Linked DNA regions of Saccharomyces cerevisiae S288C. Changing the gene in region 2 together with the main gene of any one other region gives a genetic interaction. Each region holds a gene or a part of one and is shown on either strand. Other genes may lie near its edges. The genes, in order: PRS5 and OCA1.

Region 1 (10,039 bases), on a different chromosome or scaffold from region 2:
AACCCGTTGAACGTAAATAAATCTTTTGTTACCATTAAAAAGCCTGCCAATGTTCCGAAAATCATTACTACACACACTCCTCATTCTAGCAAAGAGCCTTCTCCAGCACCACACTCAAATGATAAATCACTCTCCGCCGAAGAACAACAACTATTAAGTGATCATGCAGAGCTATCTCGCCAAGCTGTTCTCCATACTCAACGGTCGGGTCAACCAACTCAAGTTACTACCTCGACTAAAACCACGAGAAATAGCCCTGATAGTATATCAATTCCAAATTCTGGCGCGAATCACGGCAACGAAAATCAAAACGTTACAATCTCAACCTCTTACCAAAATACGAAGAATGGTATTGTGGAATCTGTCATCACAGTCAAAGGTGTTCCAAAAACCATCATTGGCCCCGCAAAAGATTGGGACGAATCCAAAAGTGAATATGGAAACGAGAATATCAATCAAGAGAATTCTAATCGAAGTGACGATAGAGAAAGTTCAAGTTCAAATGCAAGTTTATTTTCCAGTATTAAGAATAAATTTAAGAACGAAAACGCTAACAACAATGATCGTTCTAATTTCACCGACTCTTTGTCAAGAACTTCCAATTATGATGCCAACGGCTCCTCGTCGACCATAAAAAGATGAAGAGATTATGCCAAAAGAATTGCCCATGCATCATAATAACCATCATCACCGTTCTTATTAGTCCCAGACGCATGAAATCACAGGGGAGAGCAGCTTAAAATTTTTTCTACAGACATACAAGAAGAAATTGCAGTTTTTTTTTTTTTGTTTCTCTAACCTATAAATAAAATGTTTCAATACACATACTAAACAAAGAAAAAAAAATGTAGAGAATTTTATACGCAAAATATATAGACACTTTCCCCTATTTTTATCAATAAAAAAATGAACACATCAATGCCACTACCATCCATGCTCGAACAACATAGAAATGGATTCACCGTTATGGATTCTTCTAATTGCTTCACCGATTATGCAGGAGACATCAATAACATCCACTCTGTCCTTACCTAGGTACTGTAGTGTTCTATCTTGAGGAACCGTGTTAGAAATGATCAACTTATCTATACTACTTTGGCCGATTCTTTCTAGCGCATCACCGGAAAAAACACCGTGCGTTATTAAGGCATAAACTTTGGTAGATCCTTGATCCTTCAACAATTTCGCAGCTCTTGTAATAGTGTATGAAGTATCCACCAAGTCGTCGACTATAATACACACCTTGTTTCTAACATCGCCAACAAGCATGGTAGTTTGAACGAACTTGGACGAATTAGAAGATTGCGACGAGGTGGAAGATGTTGAAGTTGTTTTCTTCATTTCAAGGGCCGCAACCCCAGTGGCACCTGAAGAAGTAGTATTTTGGGAGGAAACCAAAGTAGTAACTAATGGCCTTGGAGATACTGGTAACGAACCACCAGAGGTTAACGTCGCATCTGGAGGGCCCTTCAATAACTGAGATCTTCTTTCTTTATGAATTAGGGCGAAGGACAATTCCAAGGCGTCTGCAATAGCCGTAGCTCTCTTTGCACCACCAGCATCTGGAGAAACGATCACAGCATCCTGATAATCTGGAATGCGATGCTGGATGTAGTTTTGTGCAATGGGTTTACAGTAGAGATTATCCACTGGAATGTCAAAAAACCCAGGGAACTGTGGATCGTGCAAATCCATTGTGATCACATGGTCAGCACCTGCAGCACTCAACAAATGAGCAATCAAAGTACCGGCTTGTACTACCCATAGCTTATAGCCTGCATTTTGAGCGTTGAACAATTCACCAGCGTCCGTGCTATTGCTTGTATTTTGTAACTTACCACCGGGAATCATAGGAATTCTTGAAAAAGAAAGCGTCTTCTTGATGTCGAAATTGTTATTCGCCGTAGCACTGCTGTTTGGTGTTCTGATAGGTTGAGGATTTTCTAAGTTGATAGTTGATCGTATTGCACTATCCAAACTCTTCAACGAGCTCTCAGCACCTGGTCTTTGCGTCATTAAAGAAGATGACACGGGTGTGCCTGGATGCGATTCAAAAGTATAGTTTTCTTTAGGCTTGGAAATTATGGGAGCACCCTTGGCAGTATATGGAATATCTGGCTGTCTCGAGTAGCAGAGATATGGCATTACGGCTGTAACCCTCGAGGCAGAAGCGGACTTGCAGGCACTGATTAAAATCAGCAACTGCATGAACGTGTCGTTCACCTGGCCACAACCACTCTGGATGATATATACATCCTTTTCACGAACAGATTCGCGAAGAGCAATGTTCGTTTCCCCATTAGAAAACTTCCCTAATTCTACTTTCGATGGGTGAATGTCCAAATTTTCACAGATCTTAGTAACTAACTCGGGGTGCGAGTCCCCTCCAAAAACAACAATATTACTCATTGACATCCAGACTGCGTTCCTAGCCTCGTAGCAACCTCCAACAAAGTCACTTTCGACCAACTTACTCTCATCTCATCCAGCCCTTCTCGCTAATCGTAGCCATTTATTATTTGATAGAAAATTTTTTTCAACTGCGGTCGAAGGGTAACAGCCATATTTTCCTTAATTGATTAGTATAGGAGAACTTGATGATAAAGTGTGGAAACCTTTCATAAACGGTTGGAGAAAAGAATCACATAGAGTTATGGTGAGCAATGATTAGTGGTGTGCTGGTATACTCATCGAGAGGTGAACTTGTCTTGAACAAGTTCTTCAAGAACTCGTTGAAGCGGTCCATATCCGATATCTTCCGAGTACAAGTGATCAATAATCTAGATGTTAGATCGCCTGTTTTGACACTGGGCTCAACTACTTTCCATCACATCAGGTCGAGGCATGGTGACAATTTGTGGTTGGTAACCATTACGAGAAGCAACGCTAATAGTGCGGCGATCTGGGAGTTCTTATATAAGCTTGATGCAGTGATGAATGCTTATCGATTGGATAGAGAGGAGGCCTTGAAAGAGGAATTCATGATTGTGCATGAGATGCTGGATATAATGTTGGGTGGAAATGGGATACCAATTGACACTGAATTGAACTCTGTTATAGCGCAGATGTCTGTGAAACCCGTTAGAAATATGGGCGGATTGTTAGATAGTCCCGATGGAAATGATGTATTATCTTCCTCTTCATCTCCTACTTCTTCAGCAGGAGAACTACATTTTCCCAAATTTTTGACAAAAAGAAGCAGTAGTTTCCTGGGTCAAGGAGACTCCACTTCTGATTTCTATGATAACAATAAGATCACTTGGAGGCCCAAGGGGATAATACACAAGAAGGATGAAGTTTTCTTGTATGTCAATGAGAGGATAAACATTCTGGTATCTAGGGATGGTTCTATCTTGAAATCATACGTTGATGGCACCATAGATATCACCACACACTTGAGTGGGACCCCTATTTGTAGATTTGGATTGAATGATTCTTTGGGAATGCAGTCCGAAGACGAGAAGAAATGGTTAGCACAGCAGCAGCGTCACTCTGGCAGCGATTTTGGAAACAAGAACTTCATTCCCAAAGCTGCTGCCGGTAGTGTTTTGTTGGAAGATTGCAAGTTTCACGAATGTGTCTCACTTGACAAATTTAACAGAAATCATATCATTGAATTCGTCCCACCAGACGGTTCGATGGAGTTGATGAAATATCATGTACGAGATAACATAAACCTGCCGTTCAAGGTTACACCTATTGTTACACATTCTACAAGAGATAACGAGATTGATTACAGGATAACATTGAAGTCTTTATTTCCTGGAAAACTTTCCGCCAAAGATGTGGTACTACATATACCCGTTCCACCAAGCACTGTGGATTGTAAGATAAGTGTCTCTAATGGCCACTGTAAGTTTGTGCCAGAAGAAAATGCAATGATTTGGAGGTTCAACAAGTACAATGGGTTGACGGAAAACACTTTAAGTGCAGTTACTGTGTCCACAAGTGATACTACTCAATTGAATCTTCAACAATGGACAAGACCTCCAATATCCCTGGAATTCGAGGTCATGATGTTCAGTAATTCTGGCTTAGTCGTACGATACTTTACCATTTCTGGAAAAGACAGTAAGCATCGTGCTGTAAAATGGATTAAATATATATCGAAAGCCGGTTCTTACGAGGTGAGGTACTAGCCCGTAATTTTTGTGTACATATATTTTTATCATGCCTGTATTTTTTATAGTAATTTCCTTTAGAATGCACATTTTGTTAATATTGAATATTTTCTATTATGAGAGACATGCAATTTAGTTTTTCATTGAAAAGAAAACAGGGAAAAAACATGGAAAAACCATACAAGACACCAAAAACACCATAGTAATGAAGATCAACAGCGCAATCAAGAGGCACTGGTACTTCTAGGCTTGAAAATTTGGTTTTGAATATAATGCCCCCTCAGATTCCCAATGAAAATGATGATCTCTTTACAAGGTGGCTTAAGTCTCGGGCCATCATACAAAGGGCAGTATCGACAAGAGAGTGCTTTGACTCAGAAGTATTTCTGGCGTCTGGTGGCTGGAATATAACGAATGAGATAATAACGTTAAAGAAATATTATCAACTCAAGTGGCCAAACTCCAGTTGCAATTCGTTTCATCCAAAAACCGTGGAGTTTATTAAAGAACGATTACACAACCTAGAAGAACATGACTCTTCATGGAAAATCCCAAATCCTGCTTACTCATTCAAGAAAGCCTTCTTGGAGGATACTAAATCTGCATTTTCCAACTTAGAACCCGTCTGGGGACCATCAAGGCTTTTGAATCCAGCTGAATTACTATTGCCACAGGACGAAAAACTACTTGTTCAAGAGATACCACTAGAGTTCGCACCTTTTCAATACACAAATAGGTTTGCTTATGGTGGTTTGCAGTTCAAGAACAATTTGTTCGTCACTTATGGGAGTTATTCCTTCCTGGCTGCCGGTCAATGCGTCGAAGTTCATAATTTCGATATACTATTGAACGTTTCGTCATTAGAAATATGTCACGCCTTATTGCCCGTGATAATACCAGATGACGGAGATGTAAGAAACTTCCGCAATTCATCATATGTGAAATTTAAGGATACACAGTTCAACAGCATACCTGAACTATGTTCTATCAACTTTATGAAGATTTGTAACTTCATGCATCAAGATTTTCTACTAGCTTGCGGTGACAACGGAATCGTTTATATCTGGGAAATCAACAAAGTTATTAAGATATTTAATAAATTTACTTCGGATATCTTGGGAGGCAAAGATAACAGCCGGGAAAGATACATAAATGTTGATCCATATATGGTGTTAAGAGTAGAGGAATCTTGTTGGAGTGTTGATGTAATAGATATAAATGGCATCATATATATCGCTGTTGGCCATAACAAGCCTGGAGTTACAGTCTTTGCATTCGATAAAGATGTAAAGAAGGAAAGACGGTACATTCGGCCTCTAGATCTTCCCTCATCTCACAATGTTCCTTGTGTTAACTTTGTTCCTAATTCAAAAGATTCTGTTGGATATATTACATTAAGTTATTGTTCTATATTTGGGAATGTTGTTACCGTTAAATTAAAGGAGCATGATTGTACCATTTTAACGAGTTTCCTTGATACTCAATTTTTTGGCGACGACTTATGGACAATAACTCCACTGACTAAGAAGGATTTTGCGAAAGTTGACAATTTCGAATTGTTGAATCTTAACTACCAAGACGGTTTCAAAGAAAGCATGTTATATTCTATTTGCCGAGATGATTTTTTACTTGGGTATTACTGTGATAACGCCTACCTCTCTGGGAATTTCGGTATTGGTACATTACTCAATCAATTTCAGGTTCCTGTCACAGACCTACGACTGACTTCTTCAGCAGGGATCCCCGATGAAGTTATACCATTAAGATTTACCTCATTTGATAGAAATTACACTACAACGGGCTCGATAAAATACGAGTACAGCAGAGAGGATTTTGCACTTATTTTACATGCCGGTGACTTAGACGATATGAATGATGCAGTGACAAAAAACACCTCATGTGAACAGCATTTACACCAATGGACATTTTGGGAGGATTCTGGTTATAAACATTATCGTGCTACTGAGCGTGGATTTTCGAAATACAAGGATATTATTAATACTTTTCCACAGTTGATAACTCCTAGTGGAAGAAATAAAACATCGCAATATCAAAACACTTCTGGGAGAAAGATCTGTGAGCCGTCTACTTATAAACTTACTGATCTCGAAAATGATATTGAAGATATATCTCGCGAATTTAATAGAAGTATTCGTAATTTGAAAATGGATAAACAAAGACAACTACGAACTTCAAAAGAGTTCAAATCGCTAAGTTCAGTAAATCATATACCAAATATTGAATCGGGAAACTTTTTATGGTACAACACCGATGCCGCTGCCGATTGGAGAACACTTTTTGGCAAGGATTTGAACACGGTCTTGAAGGACCCAGAAATTTGTAGCCTTCAACTGAACTCTACAGAAGAGGACGATGTCAATAGCGACCCTGAAAATGAAGAATCTGGTAGCAGCTTAACAAGTTTCCAGCGAAGATATAGGGATACTGAACAGCGTGCTCACTTGAAATCAGAATCGCAGAAATCTTGGGGGTTCCACAACTATGTAAGAAACGTCAAGCGGTTATTAGAGTCAGCAGTACCGGGCTCAGAAGATTCGCCTCTTGGGTATCAACTATCCGAAATGCACGACGAGTTCTTCTTCCTAACCACAGCCCATAGGCTGGTGTTGATGAAAGCAAATCCACTCATAATTATATCAGCAACTCATCATGAGATTTTTCCCTTAGATGGTGTTGTGACGTGTGCTTCCAAGTCGCTGCTCCAAGCACTAAACAGAATAAATTTTGTGTGTCACATCAAAGAACTAAATTGCATAGCCGTGGCTTCACAATTGGGTCTCATTTCATTACTAAGACTAACAGAGTACAGAGGCATCTATTCGTTTAGACAAGAGTATATTCTTGGATGGGAAGTCCAAGACCCTGTTAACCCTAGTCCAGAGTGCAGATGTAACAGGAACTTGTTTGACGCACCAATGTATGGTGCAGATGGAGAGAGCTCGGACACATACTGCGGCGTGTGCGACGTCTATTTCCCCATGGGTGATATTTGCGGACTAGATTACACTTATGCATCTGACAGTGAAGAGTTAAAACGTAAGGGATATGCTACCTTATACGTAGCATCAAGAGGCTCCTTGAGGGCATTCAAGATCACAACTGAGCATGGAACAACTCAACAATAGCATATTTTGACATTTACATAGCCATCTATATAATAATCCTTCCTTCATTGAAATGCGCGAATGACTCAGACGAGCAATATCACGTGTTGCGATTTTACTTTCAGTTTGCAAAGAAGAAACCATGCCACATATAAAGAACGTTTGCACTTCTCTTTAATTTATTAGTTAGTAAGTAAGAAGTTTAAAGACAACTCAGAAGACATCAGCACTTTACTATGGCATTGGAAAGAGAATTATTGGTTGCAACTCAAGCTGTACGAAAGGCGTCTTTATTGACTAAGAGAATTCAATCTGAAGTGATTTCTCACAAGGACTCCACTACTATTACCAAGAATGATAATTCTCCAGTAACCACAGGTGATTATGCTGCACAAACGATCATCATAAATGCTATCAAGAGCAATTTTCCTGATGATAAGGTAGTTGGTGAAGAATCCTCATCAGGATTGAGCGACGCATTCGTCTCAGGAATTTTAAACGAAATAAAAGCCAATGACGAAGTTTATAACAAGAATTATAAAAAGGATGATTTTCTGTTTACAAACGATCAGTTTCCGCTAAAATCTTTGGAGGACGTCAGGCAAATCATCGATTTCGGCAATTACGAAGGTGGTAGAAAAGGAAGATTTTGGTGTTTGGATCCTATTGACGGAACCAAGGGGTTTTTAAGAGGTGAACAGTTTGCAGTATGTCTGGCCTTAATTGTGGACGGTGTTGTTCAGCTTGGTTGTATTGGATGCCCCAACTTAGTTTTAAGTTCTTATGGGGCCCAAGATTTGAAAGGCCATGAGTCATTTGGTTATATCTTTCGTGCTGTTAGAGGTTTAGGTGCCTTCTATTCTCCATCTTCAGATGCAGAGTCATGGACCAAAATCCACGTTAGACACTTAAAAGACACTAAAGACATGATTACTTTAGAGGGAGTTGAAAAGGGACACTCCTCTCATGATGAACAAACTGCTATCAAAAACAAACTAAATATATCCAAATCTTTGCACTTGGATTCTCAAGCCAAGTACTGTTTGTTAGCATTGGGCTTAGCAGACGTATATTTACGTCTGCCTATCAAACTTTCTTACCAAGAAAAGATCTGGGACCATGCTGCAGGCAACGTTATTGTCCATGAAGCTGGAGGTATCCATACAGATGCCATGGAAGATGTTCCTCTAGACTTCGGTAACGGTAGAACGCTAGCTACGAAGGGAGTTATAGCGTCAAGTGGCCCACGCGAGTTACATGACTTGGTGGTGTCTACATCATGCGATGTCATTCAGTCAAGAAACGCCTAAATAACATATATTTTACTTTATTGATAGACATAAATATATGAGTACATATATATATGTGTGTATGTGTATGTACATACCAGTTAAATGATAACCTTTTTTTATTGTTGTTATAGCGTGAAAAAAGGAAAATACAGTGAAAAGAACAAAACTGAAGAGGTAAGAGTAGGCTAACAAAGAAGAAAAGTGAGACAAGAAAATACAGCAGGATTCTGACCGAATGAACAAAACGAATTGGAAGGTATCTGTAACTACATTCAATTGTGGTAAGGAATTTCCCGTTGAAAATTCGAAAGCAATCGTTAAGCAATTGCTTTTCCCCTACGATGACGGCATCTCCCAATTGGAATTGCAAGATCTATATGTGTTGGGGTTCCAAGAAGTAGTCCCCATATGGCAAGGCTCCTTCCCTGCTGTTAATCGTGATTTAATCGATAGAATTACAACTACTGCGGTTAATTGTCTGAATGAAAAAGTGTCAGCTACACAAGGGGATGAGCAGTATTCATGTTTAGGGGTGAATAGTCTTGGGGCGATTACCATAATAGTATTATACAATAATAATGCGCTAAAGGTAAAAGATGATATTTTGAAACGGAATGGGAAATGCGGTTGGTTTGGTACACACTTGAAAGGTGGAACTTTGATAAGTTTTCAGATGACACGCAATGGCGAGGAGAACTGGGAAAGATTTAGCTATATTTGTGCTCATTTAAATGCAAATGAAGGTGTCAACAATAGAAATCAAAGAATAGATGATTACAAACGAATAATGAGTGAAGTGTGTGATTCTGAGGTTGCAAAAAGCGACCACTTTTTCTTTCTAGGCGATTTGAATTTTAGGGTTACTAGTACTTATGATCCAACTACCAATTATTCGTCCACCACAACGTTAAGGCGTCTATTAGAAAATCATGAAGAACTAAATCTGCTACGTAAAGGAGAGGATGAACCGTTATGCAAAGGTTTTCAGGAGCTGAAGATAACATTTCCACCGACATACAAATTCAAGTTGTTTGAAAAGGAAACATATAATACAAAAAGAATCCCGTCGTGGTGCGATAGGATTCTCTACAAAAGCTATGCAGTGCCAACTTTCGCACAAGAAGGTACTTACCATTCCGTCCCTAGGTCCAATGCTCTATTATTTAGCGATCATCAACCCGTTAATCTTACCGTAAGATTACCAAGGTCTACAGGGACGCCAGTGCCGTTATCCTTACATATCGAAAAGTATCCTTTATCATGGAGCTCTGGCCTGATTGGACAAATTGGTGACGCAGTCATCGGGTACTGCGGTTGGCTAGTTACTAAGAATGTACATTATTGGATATTAGGTTCTTTACTATTATATTTACTATTAAAAATCCTGTAAAGTGATCTGGGCTGTCAGGCTAGAAGTTTTTCATTTATGTCTGAAACAGATAACGTCAGTTGTACCACTATCTTTGGTTTTATTCTTTTTATTTTCTCTTCCATATATCTT
Region 2 (12,172 bases):
TACCATGGGTATTGGCAGCAGCTACATTCAAGTATTGGGCTCCACAGACATCACAGAATTTGGTCAATGCCACTGAAAATGATTTACTGCCAGCTGATTTCGTCAAGTCATATCACAATACTTGGAAACGAATTTATGAGGAAGGATATGTTGCCAAGAAATGTGATTTAAAACGTCAAATCGATCAGACATTACAAAAAAATATAAGGTATGCAAGGGAACAGCTTTATGAAAAGTTGGAGCAAGCATGATATCAAGCGGATATCTTTTTTTGTTCATTATCATGTCCATAGTAAGTATGTCCATATATAAATCGGATAATTAATATTCTATAAAATTACCCATTAAATAAATTTCATTTATTTTGAATTTCATTTCGTGTGATCTTTAGAAGTTGGTTCGCGAATGGGCCGTGCATCCTGAAACATTTCAAACTTTAGGTAAATGGTCATAAAGCTCAGTGCTTTTTCTTTATCTTTTGCATTTTTTTTTTCTTGCCTCTACTCCAAAGCTGTCAGTAACCAACTTGGTGCTTTATTTTTGTCTATTTTTACTAAATTAGTGTCGAAAGCTTCTATAAGCAACTCTACAAGAATTCTACCACCTCTGCTACCAGTAAAGCGTCTATATTCTTCGGATACACTGGCTAAGTTCCAACCCATTATTCTTCTGAGACATCCAATGACTGTCCCAGTCCTATGTCTTCCCATACCACAGCACACTAGCAAGGGATAATTCTCTTGAGTGACGATCGTTTGTAGTACATTAATTATAGAATGTTCAGTGAGACCGTCCCATGGATTATCGTCCTCACCGGCATCCGGGTTGATGGCTGCGAATTGTAAGTTTATTCTATGAGTATCACAAAACTCTAGGAGGGTATCTTGAGGTTCTTCGTTAGACAGCCATATAATTGTTTTCAGTTTTAGGTTTAGTAAAAAGGGGAAATTCACAGGTGAAGGCTGACCAGATCTATAGAGGTATCTTTCAACGGGACAGAAATTCAAAGGTGGAACGATACGTTCTTGTGGGGCATGTGATACCAAGACCTTTTCGCGACCAGATTCTGTTTCTTCATTGATATATATATGATCATCATCGTCGTCTTCTTCCTCGTCTTCGTCTTCTACTTCTTCTTCAGGTACGGATACGTTCTCTTCTGTGAGGCGGGACTCATCCTCTGGAACGTCCTCATATTCACCAACTTTAGATGTCATTCTAAGGGGAAAGAGAAGCTTGTTATTCCAGGTGGAACACCTCTTTCTTGTGAAAATGGATGTGATTGATGACTCTCTGCAATGTCCAATTTTATGTTATAGCGATGTTGTTTGTTTTTTCCTTTACCCGGCAACCATATGATATTGCCCAAAGTTTCCAATGTTAACAAGAATGAAACGGAAATAGCAAATGGCAATAAGCAATATAAAAACAGTCACTTTTTTATTTACTTTTGTATATATTTATAAATGTGTGTACTCGTTTCAACTTTATAGAGTTCTTTTCGTCTTAGCGTTTCTACAACTATTTCCTTTTTATTAACTTATAATACAACAGCCACCCGATCCGCTCTTGGAGGCTTCACTGGTGTTACCGCCGGGTGCAGCTTGCTGCTTCCTAGCCTGTTTAGCATTTGAAACTTGACCGGCCTTACTATTATTATTTACACGATTATTAACCGTATTAGCGCTTTGAGCGTTGGCCTGACCAGCTTGGCCCGTGGAATTGTCTATATTGGTGCGATCAGTTTGTGTCTTACCATTTGTCGCCTGGTTGCCTGCCAACCCTGTCTTACTCTCTATGCTTGCATTCCTGGCATTCACGACAGTTGTGCTACTGTTCACATTTTTACCGTTGGCAGCATTGCTCATCTTCCTGTGGCCACCGCTATTTCTAGGCACAGAGTTGGCACCGCTCCCTTTTGTATCTTGAGAAGTTTGCTTGGAGTTGTCATTTTCCGTCAAAGTCTTGTTGTACTTGCCGCCTTCGTCTCTAACTAAACGTGCTAGAGTGTAAAACGCCTCTTCCACGTTGATTGCTTGCTTAGCAGATGTCTCCAAGAAAGGAGCGTTCATTTGCTTTGCCATGTTCAACCCGTCCTGGTAAGAGACCTGTTTTTCGTTTTCTAAATCAGATTTGTTACCAACAACCACAATTGGAACATAGTCGGTATCTTTGACTCTCAATATCTGTTGATAGTAAGTCATAAGCTCATCAAGAGACGACTTGGACGTTATAGAGTAAACCAATAGGAATCCTTCGCCGTTGCGCATGTATTGTTCCCTCATAGCAGAGTATTCTTCCTGCCCTGCAGTATCCAAAATGTCCAATATAGACACTTCATCATCAATCACCACTTGCTTCCTGTATGAATCCTCAATTGTGGGATCGTATTCATCTACAAAGTGCGATTGGGTCAATTGTATGGTCAAAGCAGATTTACCAACACCACCACCACCAACGACGACTAGCTTGTACTCTCTTATGTTCGACTTGTTCAAAGGCATTTTTTTTTCTGTATATCTCCTTTCAATTCGAAAACGGTTAACTTGGTTTTTTTATCCGTAATTCTCTCGTATCTTTCTGCTCAAGTAATTTTCTCCTAGTTGATTAATATAGTGCAGAAGAGTCAGATAAAGAGTGGATGAATAAAATGGAAAAAAAACAAAAGCCGGATTGCGTTACGCTTGAAATGAGCGATTCTAGGCGATAAGAGAAGACAACGGCTAAAACTTAAGATGTTGGGGTACTATAAATGTTTACCCAGATTTTCGGTAGAAATGTTTGCTGATGTGAACCTTGTTTCCCGTTTTCCCAGATCCCCTTATTCCAGCTTTGTTTCGTCTTTGCTGTCATGTTCCGTTTAATTTCTGAAGGCCTGCCTAGCTTCACCGTCCTAAATGTCACGCTCCAGGCAGAGACATGGCGCAGGGGCGAGGCCAGGGGCAAAGGGGTCAGGCAGGAACCTCCAAGGGGGGCGAGGTGAATGAAAAGGTCCTTCTGAATAAAAAGCCTAAGCGATTAGCCACACCACCCACTGTACGGCGATTAGACTGAGCTGCTGGCGCTGCTACGCCGTGACAAGTCATTTCATCATTTATTACGTTTTATCGTGCCGTCATCACCATCGATTTGAATATTTTATCTAGACCGGTAGGGCCCAAGTATCTTGCAGATCCATTGATACGGCCACGCCCGTTAAAACGCTAAGATATATATATATGTAGCTAAGATATATATATATGTATATATTCGGTATTTAGTAGATATTTCCTTAAGGCGATATTCGCCCGAGAGCTATTTCACAGTTTTTTTTTGCAGTCGTCGCAATACCACTTGCCCTTAGGTAGAGTTTCGAGTCCAATACATGGCAAATGGAACCATTCTAGCTCACAGTCTGCGCCATCACACCCCACCATTTCCCCGTATGCCACTTGGTTACAGTAGCAGTAGAGCGGTTCGCCGTAGTCGTTGGTTTTTGGTCTTGATATCCTGCTGTTGTTGCTGTTTCCGACGCTGCTAACTCCCCTGGACGCTGTAGATGTACCTATCCTGCCATTATTGACGGCAGTTGCCGTGCTGATAGTGCTTGGTGAAACGGCTGTGGTGGCAACTCTCCTCTTGCGTTTTTTGGTCTCTGGATCGGCGTTGTTGGTATTGGCAGCGTTGGCTCTTTTTCTTGAGTTTGTGTTGTTACCAGTGTGGTCTTGGCTCTCGTGCCTGCTGCCTCCGTAGTTTGCGTCGTTCTTTGAGTCGTCTTGTTGGTGTGTGCTGGCGGAGTAATGTTCGCCCTGCCTCCTGTTGGCAGCCATGGCTTCTCTTCTTGATTCGCTCTTCAGTGCCTGCGACGATTTGCTGTTTGATTTGCTCTCTATTTTTTCCATTAGTTCATGATGGAGGTGCATTGCTGGATGGTTGTCCACACCCAGTCTTAAACCTCTAGGAATTTCTGTGTTCTTGATTGCGACTTCATACGCCAATTCTAACCGGGACGTCAATCTGTCTAGATTATCCAGCATAATGGATGAGACATGCATTTTCTCCTCCAGCGATGGCATCAGTTCTTCATAAATCTTGTTGATATTATTGAGCAGTCTTACTTGTGTTTGGTGATCTTTATTGAAGTCTTTCTTCAAGAACTTATCTATCCTCTCGTTCAAATTCGGCATAGAATGCACACATTTTGCATCTATTTCGTGTAGTAATGTTAAATATCTGGAGGTGGCCAGTGGGAATTCCTCCAGCACGTCAGTTATGTCGTTTAATCCAGGGAATAGGTTCGCTGGTGAACTCATTTGTACGTATTTCAGACTATGAACGTGGTTGCTGTTTGTGATACTGCAAGACTACAAACTTTTCTCCTTCCGGGTTCGTCCTGTTGTAAACGCCTAACTCTTTTCCTTAGGCTCCTTTTTCGTTTTTTCCCTAGCTCTTTCTTTCTTCTTCATGTGCATGCACTCTTTCCTACATATTTTTTTTTCAAGGGCATTTTTAACTTTCTTCGGAAATCGTCTAAGAATTGTAAACTATAATTGCAAATACGCGATTAGCTCTATCTAGAATACCGAAAAAAAGGTTTGCCACTCACAATTGGACGTGCCTCAATTATTTCAAGTATACGTCATTTGGGCTTTTGACTTGTAAAATATACTCAAATGAAATTCTGATTATACAAAGTTGAAACACGTAACACGCCATGTCAAGGTACGCGTAGAGGTAAGCAGATAATGCATGGACAATGTGCTGGGCGAAGAGGCGGATCTAATTACACATACTTGGGATCATCTAAGATTTCAGATGGTTATGTTAATGCTCACTTGTTCCACGCCTTTTTCCTTTCCTTCAGATAAGTAATCCGCATATCAATGTGAAAGAACTAACGGTTGTTGATGGACGTATCGTTGTCTAGCGATAAATAATGCTTTTTCTTCAACAAATAAGTGGTTGTTTGGCCGAGCGGTCTAAGGCGCCTGATTCAAGAAATATCTTGACCGCAGTTAACTGTGGGAATACTCAGGTATCGTAAGATGCAAGAGTTCGAATCTCTTAGCAACCATTATTTTTTTTCCTTTTTATCTGATTGCAGCGAGAACTTGGGAAATCAACCCAATATGTATTCCAAAATGTCAAAACACCAATTAAAGCATCTCTATATTGACAGATACAAAATATATTTAAGTATACATTCATAATTATTTTACTCGAATTAAAAAAGCCCACTTTTTGGAAACCTCCTTTTGTATTCTCATAACTATGTTTCTTTTTTTATTATTTTTTCTTAATATTATTTTCTTTAAGTATGACAAATGATGAGAATGATAGTTATCTCACTATTTAGTTGGTCTGGCTTGGAATTTCAAAAACAATTTGTTTGCCAGTCAACTTGTTGTAGACAGCTTGGAAAGATTCCAACTTGTAGTCGATTTGTTGAACATCCTTGGAGTCTAACAAAACCTTTTGGATCTTGTTACCACCAACCAAATATCTAACTCTTTTACCGACAATTTCAGTTGGGAAAACCATGTCTTCCAAAACCTTGTCGTGAACAGCAGTCAAAGTTCTGGATCTTGGTCTCTTTTGGACTTGTCTAGATGTTCTAGATGGTTTTGGCAAGATTCTTCTTTCAGCCAAGAAAATAACATGACGGTCAGGGAATTTCTTTTCCAATTCACGGGTCAATTTGGTTTGGACCTTATGGTATGCAGACAAAGCTGGAACTGGGACAAAAAGGACTAGTGCTTTCTTACCACCGGTGACATCAATCTAAACAATAAGAATCAAGCAGCGTTGAAATAAAGTTAGTAACTGAATTGGTTCATTCATAACAAAAAAGGGTTTGTGATTCTTCTCCTTGGGGTAAGGTCTTTTTCGCGTGCTTCTATTTTATTCATCGATATTGGTACTGACCAAGGAGGCCTTTATAGTTCAAAGGCTCATCGCAACGTTCATGGTATTGACAGCTCTCGGAATTACTATTTTTCTCGAACACATGAAAATTTCATACAGATACTGCTCAAAATCACTCTTTTTTGAAAAAATTACTGCAAAGAACCCCTTTAGAAGAAATCACAATGTTGCTGCTTCCAAATTATATAACTTTTAACATACTTCTCTGATAGATTTGATTTGCAATGGTCTCAAGTCAGCCTTTAGTTCTGGAGAGGAGCTTTCTAGATCGATGAAGGTCTTGGCGACTTGTAATTCCAACTCACTTGGAGCTTGGGATAAGATCTTGGATTGGACAGAGGACATTGGTCAGTTATGTGTCTAGTCTTTAGTGTGTTGGTTTCTCTTCTGTTTGTATATACAAAGTCAAATAACACATATTTTAACCATAATCAATAGCATTTGGTATTTCCCCCTCCGCGTATTATGAACGCCTAGTGAGCCCATTCTTCCCTAAAGCCAGGCTGGAAACCCAAACTGTGTGGAACGTGACTGAATTGCATTTGGTGAGTTACCAAGCAAAGGCTCGCAGGCTTGAACCACATTTTACCAGGGCGCTCGCTTTTTCCGAAATATTGAAATTAAGCAAAACAATAATGTACGGATTTAAAGAGGTACGGATGGAGACCGTAGAAAATTGACTTTTTTTTTTTTTTTGTTATTTTCTGTGCCTTTCGTAACTACTACTATGCAGAATGACAGGTAGTTGTTGTTTCGAATTGCTACTTTCACGCATTCAACTTGATCAACATTTCTCTCTGATGAAAGGTTGTGGAAAGTTTGGTCGTGTCTATAAGTAGGTGTTTTTTATTAGTTCTATATAAAAATGGAGAATGTTAATTTTAACCCACCCTAAAACAGTGATTAGGAGTGGTAATAATTTTTTGTTTAATGGATTAAAACTAAAGGTTCATCTGTACTTTCAGAAAGTAAGACACTAAAAATGGCAAGCTAACAACCATTAGCGGGTATTGCAGCATTAAGAAAAATGAAACACACTCCATTTGGATTGGCGCAGTTGTTTCTGGCGGCGTAAAACTGGCGGTGAAATATATAAGGGTAGTCATCGTTGGCAAGTTCCAGCTGATTGCTATAACAAATAGTAGCATTCTATCATCTTGCCAATTAACCCATCCAGCTTTCACTAACCGATCACACCATAGGACACCAAAAATTGGCATGACACATTGTCTCAAAATGACGAGTGTCACAGCGGCTTTCCAAAATCCAGGATAAAGGTTGCCAATCTTTAATCTTCCTAAAGTTGCTCCTAATAATATCAACCCAAATGGAACACATGCGGCACCGACATAACCTGTAAAATCCATGAAAAAGCTTAATGGTGGTGCATTGTCAGGAGCTTGGCTTATGTGAGGAGTATTAGCGGTAGTCACGAACAAAGCCTTGACCCATGGGATAAATGCAACAGTTAGGGCGATGATCACGGCCATAGAGCACGGTCTCAAACAATTCTTTAGGAAAAACACAAGTAATGGAGTTAATGAAAATTTTCTCATCCACTGTGGTAATGATTCGCCGGATGTTTCAATATCCTTTTTACTTACAGTGGCATCTGATGTTAAGATCCTGGTTAGGTTAGCAGTTTTTATAGTCTGTAAAGTGGAATTTGAGCTAATTGAATGCACATCATTCATATCAGCGCCGCGTAAACTGGAATTCCTCCTTTGATGACCATACTGGTCAACGTTGGAGTACTCTCTGATAAGATGGTGTATATTTTGAGAAGGTAATGCACGCATATCAATGGAGCGGATAGGTTCCAATGCCGCCATAGACATATTTTTTGGGCATTTTTCATCTAAACAGTTCTCTTCTAGGAGTGTGGTAGTATTGTAAGCTCTCGGCTGGCTCGCGGTTCTACGTGCTCTCATAGTATCTATGCTACTCTCATAACTCTCTGACGTATTATAAGAATGTATTGTTGAAGCAGATGATTGGCTATCTAATGGATTTGAACCACGAGTTGCCTGTGACTCTTCGCTTTGAGTGCACGCAATAGTATTTCTTGCCTTCACCTGAACTGGTTTTGTAATCTTTGAATTCGAAGAAGTGTCTGGTAGTGACAGGGGAGCTATACTATTTGTTGATCTCCTTGAAATTGGTGGTACGTCTGCGTTTTCACCCTTTGTACCTATAGCTTCAGTGAGACTATCGCGAGCGGTGTACTTATTGTTGAAAAGCTGTTGTTCGTTTGAGAAGAAACGCTCGCTAGTATCTGTATTAGTTGTGTTTGCACTTACTGCGGGCTGTGTCTTTGTCGTTTCTGAAACCCTAACGGCGCTTTCATCGTCGTTGTACTCGAAATCGCTTTCAATCAGTCGAAACCCCCCCAAATTGAAAATGCAAATTAGAAACATTGTCAGAAATATAATGACGTTAGCCACACCTTTGTTACCTTCTTCTTCCGAAAATACAAGCCCTTGGTCCATAGATTGTAAATATGCAATTGGTAAATCACTTATATTTGGAAACATACCACCGGCAAGAATACCACCGTACCATTGTTTAGGAACAGGCAGGAATAGCCTAACAACGTATGCAAAAAAGAACCCAGAACCAAATATTAGGAGGGCAGACAGACAGATAATTCCCACAGATTTGATGTCTTTATCTTCAATATTAGCGACAATCTTGTTGAATGACAGAGAGGGTAGTAAAACTGTTAGCACGATATCAGAAATAATTCTTGTTGCTTCAACCGTAAGAATTCCCATTTTAGCCATCAGAAAGCCGACTCCTATAATCAAATAAATCTTGATTATCGGCTTAACTGACACCCATATCGCTTGACCCAGAGTAATGTGCACCATCTGATGAAAATTTGAGGTTTCAATCCCTTTCTCTGTTTGATTCTATAACTTCTCCAAAAAAATTGCGCTGACGCTAATTAGTCACTGTTTATATCTTTTTTAGCGATGATTTGTAACAATATGCCATAAAAGCGTTCTCTAACTGCGGAAGTGATGAGAATTGAATAGTTTTATTCAGAAGGCAATATATCCTAATATGGCACAAAAAGGCAACTTGTATGCACAAAATGAGCATAAGAGTTCAGGCAGAACGTTGTGCTCTTGATCCAAAGGTTAAAAGTCATCGAGTAGGAAGATATTGTAACCTTCGCGCAAACCGCAGCCGCAGCGGGTCACGTGGTCGCGCAAATGATGATGAGGGCGCGGTCTAACTTTCCAAACGAGGTTACCAACAATTCTCGGACAGATAAAGCATTAGAATAGGGTGGCAACGCCTTTACGGTTAGCTTGTTCATTGTGATTGGTTTGTGTATCTTTTCTTGGCTTTTTATGCCCACGAGACATAAAGTATACGAAGCTGTTATACTATTCGTGATCCAGGGCAAAAATTTAGCATCATTAAGGCATATATATCGCAAATAGTGGGTTGCACAAGGCTTTCAATAAACAGTGTCATATGTTTCTCTAGCTCTGTCGGTTTGTTGGCTATAAAGAGTTTGTCTAGTAATCGCCGTCTTTTCTTGGGACCATTAACACAGACAAGGACATTGAAACTTGGCTATAAGTTCCGTCAAAGGGGGAAAAAATTGCTTTGGAGAAGGAATAAAAAGATGAATAGTCAAGGTTACGATGAAAGCTCTTCCTCTACTGCTGCTACTAGCGGTCCTACTTCTGGAGACCCACGAATGGGTAAGAAACAACGGTTTATGAATCTCATAAGAACCACAAAGGATGTTTATATTCCTAACCTGACGTCATCCATTTCTCAAAAGACAATGGATGGCATCAGGAGCACTACGAATTCCTTCGAAGGTTATAATGACTTGCCTATGGAATTGCCACATAATACCACGATAACATATTTTCCAACGTATACCACAACTAATTTGGTTGACCCTGACGGTTTGAGTGCGCCTCGGAAAGATTTTGAAACTACTGTCAGATGTGCTGTTTCTTATCCAGGAAATCCTACAAGCAGGAGAAATAGGTGGTTGCTTTCTCTTTGTAAACAATATCTTAGAACTGGAACGGCGGAGGCCGATGTTGCACCTGTTGTTCCCCCTCATCTCGAAGAGGATTCTGGAGATTTAAACGACTCCCAATCAAGTATAGAAAGTTCTTTGTCTTCAAAGAGCGAAAATAGGTATTCACATATGGGCATCCAAGAGGAAGATGTTCTGAATGAGAGAATTCAAGGATTCCTGTCCAAAAAAGTTCCTAATACTCCAGTGGTGGTTGACCTATTGCCCAAAGATAAGCTCAGAGGGGATACGGCTTCCTTTTTTGGTACCACGGACTCTTATGGTAATTTACTAATCAAGGCAGAAACAGATTTTTTACCGTCCAAGATTAATATTACATTAGATACCCCTATAGAAGGCCATGCAGATCCCATATCTGAAACATTTCCGGCCAATTATGTCTCGCCCTACGGTATTGGTTTAATCAGTGATATTGACGACACCATCAAGCATACTGGCGTTACGGGTGACAGGAGATCGATGTTTCGTAATGTTTTCATCCATGATGTTCAATCGTGGGTAATAGATGGTGTTCCTCTTTGGTACAAAACTTTACATGATGTCGCAGACGTTGATTTCTTTTATGTTTCTAATTCACCCATCCAAACTTTTACTCTTTTGAAACAATATATTTGCGCCAATTTTCCTCCGGGTCCAATTTTTTTGAAACAATACTCTGGTAATTTCTTTTCCACTATCATGACTTCAAGTGCGAATAGAAAAATTCAGCCGATTGCAAATATCTTAAAGGATTTTCCCAAAAAAAAATTTATTTTGGTCGGTGATTCTGGTGAACATGACTTAGAAGCGTATACCACTACGGCTTTACAATTTCCGAACCAGATTCTGGCTATTTATATAAGATGTTGCTCTAATTCCATGAGTGATGTCCCATCGCATGATGAAGAAGTTATGAATGAAGTGAACAATATCATCGAATTACAACAACGGCCCATGCAAATGACCAAGTCTACCGTACGTACCAGGAGAAGACCACCACCACCTCCCATTCCTTCCACTCAAAAGCCATCGTTGACAGAAGAGCAAACCGAAAGTATAAGAATGTCACGCCGTAATAAAGATGAGAACAATGCTAAAAGAGTTGCCCCACCACCGTTGCCGAACAGACAGTTACCTAACTTAGACGCTAATACTTACTATGTACCATCCTCACAAAATGACTATGGCATGTATGGTGCTTTCATGGATAAAAAAGCAGATGAATGGAAGAGAAGAGTAATGGACTCAATTCAAAAATTGAGCAATCAAGACACCACATTGATGTTCTTTTCGGATCCGGCATTAAGTTTGGAAGACAGTATTCGCAGAATTAGGGAGAAGTATTCAAACTAAATACACTGTTATTTATATACATCGGGAGGGAGTTTAAAAATTGTATACACTAAAGTGACCTTATGAATTGGAGCCATTTTCAACGTTTTAGAGTGATGTTGCATCCTTTTCATCAGATCGGGAAATTAAAAAAACGGTTATAGAAGGGCTAAATGTAAATATGTAAATTTTATGAAGTCAAGAGTAAAGAAAATCTTCGGTTGCCGATCAAATACACTCTTACAAAATACCCTAAACTCAGTTTATCTTTCCATTCCAACTGATTATCGCGTACGCCTTGGTGACCAACCATACCCTAAAATGTCAATTTCCGGGGCGGAAGGGGTCCTTAAACTGCAAAGCCTCTTCCCATGTAAATAAAATAAATCCGTAGAATTTATTAAATATTGTCATATTATAAGTCGGGAAAGGCCTTCTGAATGCACGTATATTGACCAAATAGAGTTAGATTCAAATTATTTATTACATTTTTTCAGCATCGAAGTTAAGTAGAATGGATAAACATACAGCAGCTATTCCAACATTAACTATCAAAGTAGTCTTACTCGGAGAATCTGCTGTCGGGAAGTCCTCAATAGTCCTCAGGTTTGTATCTGACGATTTTAAAGAGAGCAAAGAACCTACTATTGGTGCCGCATTTTTAACAAAGAGAATTACAAGGGATGGCAAGGTCATTAAATTTGAAATATGGGATACGGCAGGCCAGGAGAGATTTGCTCCTTTAGCGCCTATGTACTACAGAAATGCTCAAGCTGCTTTGGTAGTTTTTGATGTTACTAATGAAGGGTCTTTTTATAAGGCTCAAAACTGGGTCGAAGAACTACACGAGAAGGTAGGACATGATATCGTTATTGCCTTGGTGGG

Evidence for each region.
Region 1: mutations in OCA1 (region 2) and PRS5 together harm fitness more than expected from each alone (negative genetic interaction), as found in Saccharomyces cerevisiae (2 studies listed by BioGRID).

Annotation. Positions count from the first base shown.
Region 1 is NC_001147.6:204,620-214,658, reverse strand, and holds PRS5 (ribose phosphate diphosphokinase subunit PRS5), read right to left. Parts: upstream 2,416-10,039; coding exon 925-2,415; downstream 1-924. Other genes in the region: MAM3 (Mam3p), read left to right, coding at 1-642; APM4 (Apm4p), read left to right, coding at 2,664-4,139; CRT10 (Crt10p), read left to right, coding at 4,394-7,267; MET22 (3'(2'),5'-bisphosphate nucleotidase), read left to right, coding at 7,483-8,556; phosphoinositide 5-phosphatase INP54, read left to right, coding at 8,774-9,928.
Region 2 is NC_001146.8:438,067-450,238, forward strand, and holds OCA1 (putative tyrosine protein phosphatase OCA1), read right to left. Parts: upstream 1,218-12,172; coding exon 501-1,217; downstream 1-500. Other genes in the region: MIC27 (Mic27p), read left to right, coding at 1-251; Ras family GTPase RAS2, read right to left, coding at 1,536-2,504; PLS1 (Pls1p), read right to left, coding at 2,731-2,853; PHO23 (Pho23p), read right to left, coding at 3,300-4,292; 40S ribosomal protein eS7 RPS7B, read right to left, coding at 5,332-5,760, 6,106-6,249; YNL095C (uncharacterized protein), read right to left, coding at 6,846-8,774; phosphatidate phosphatase APP1, read left to right, coding at 9,545-11,308; Rab family GTPase YPT53, read left to right, coding at 11,802-12,172.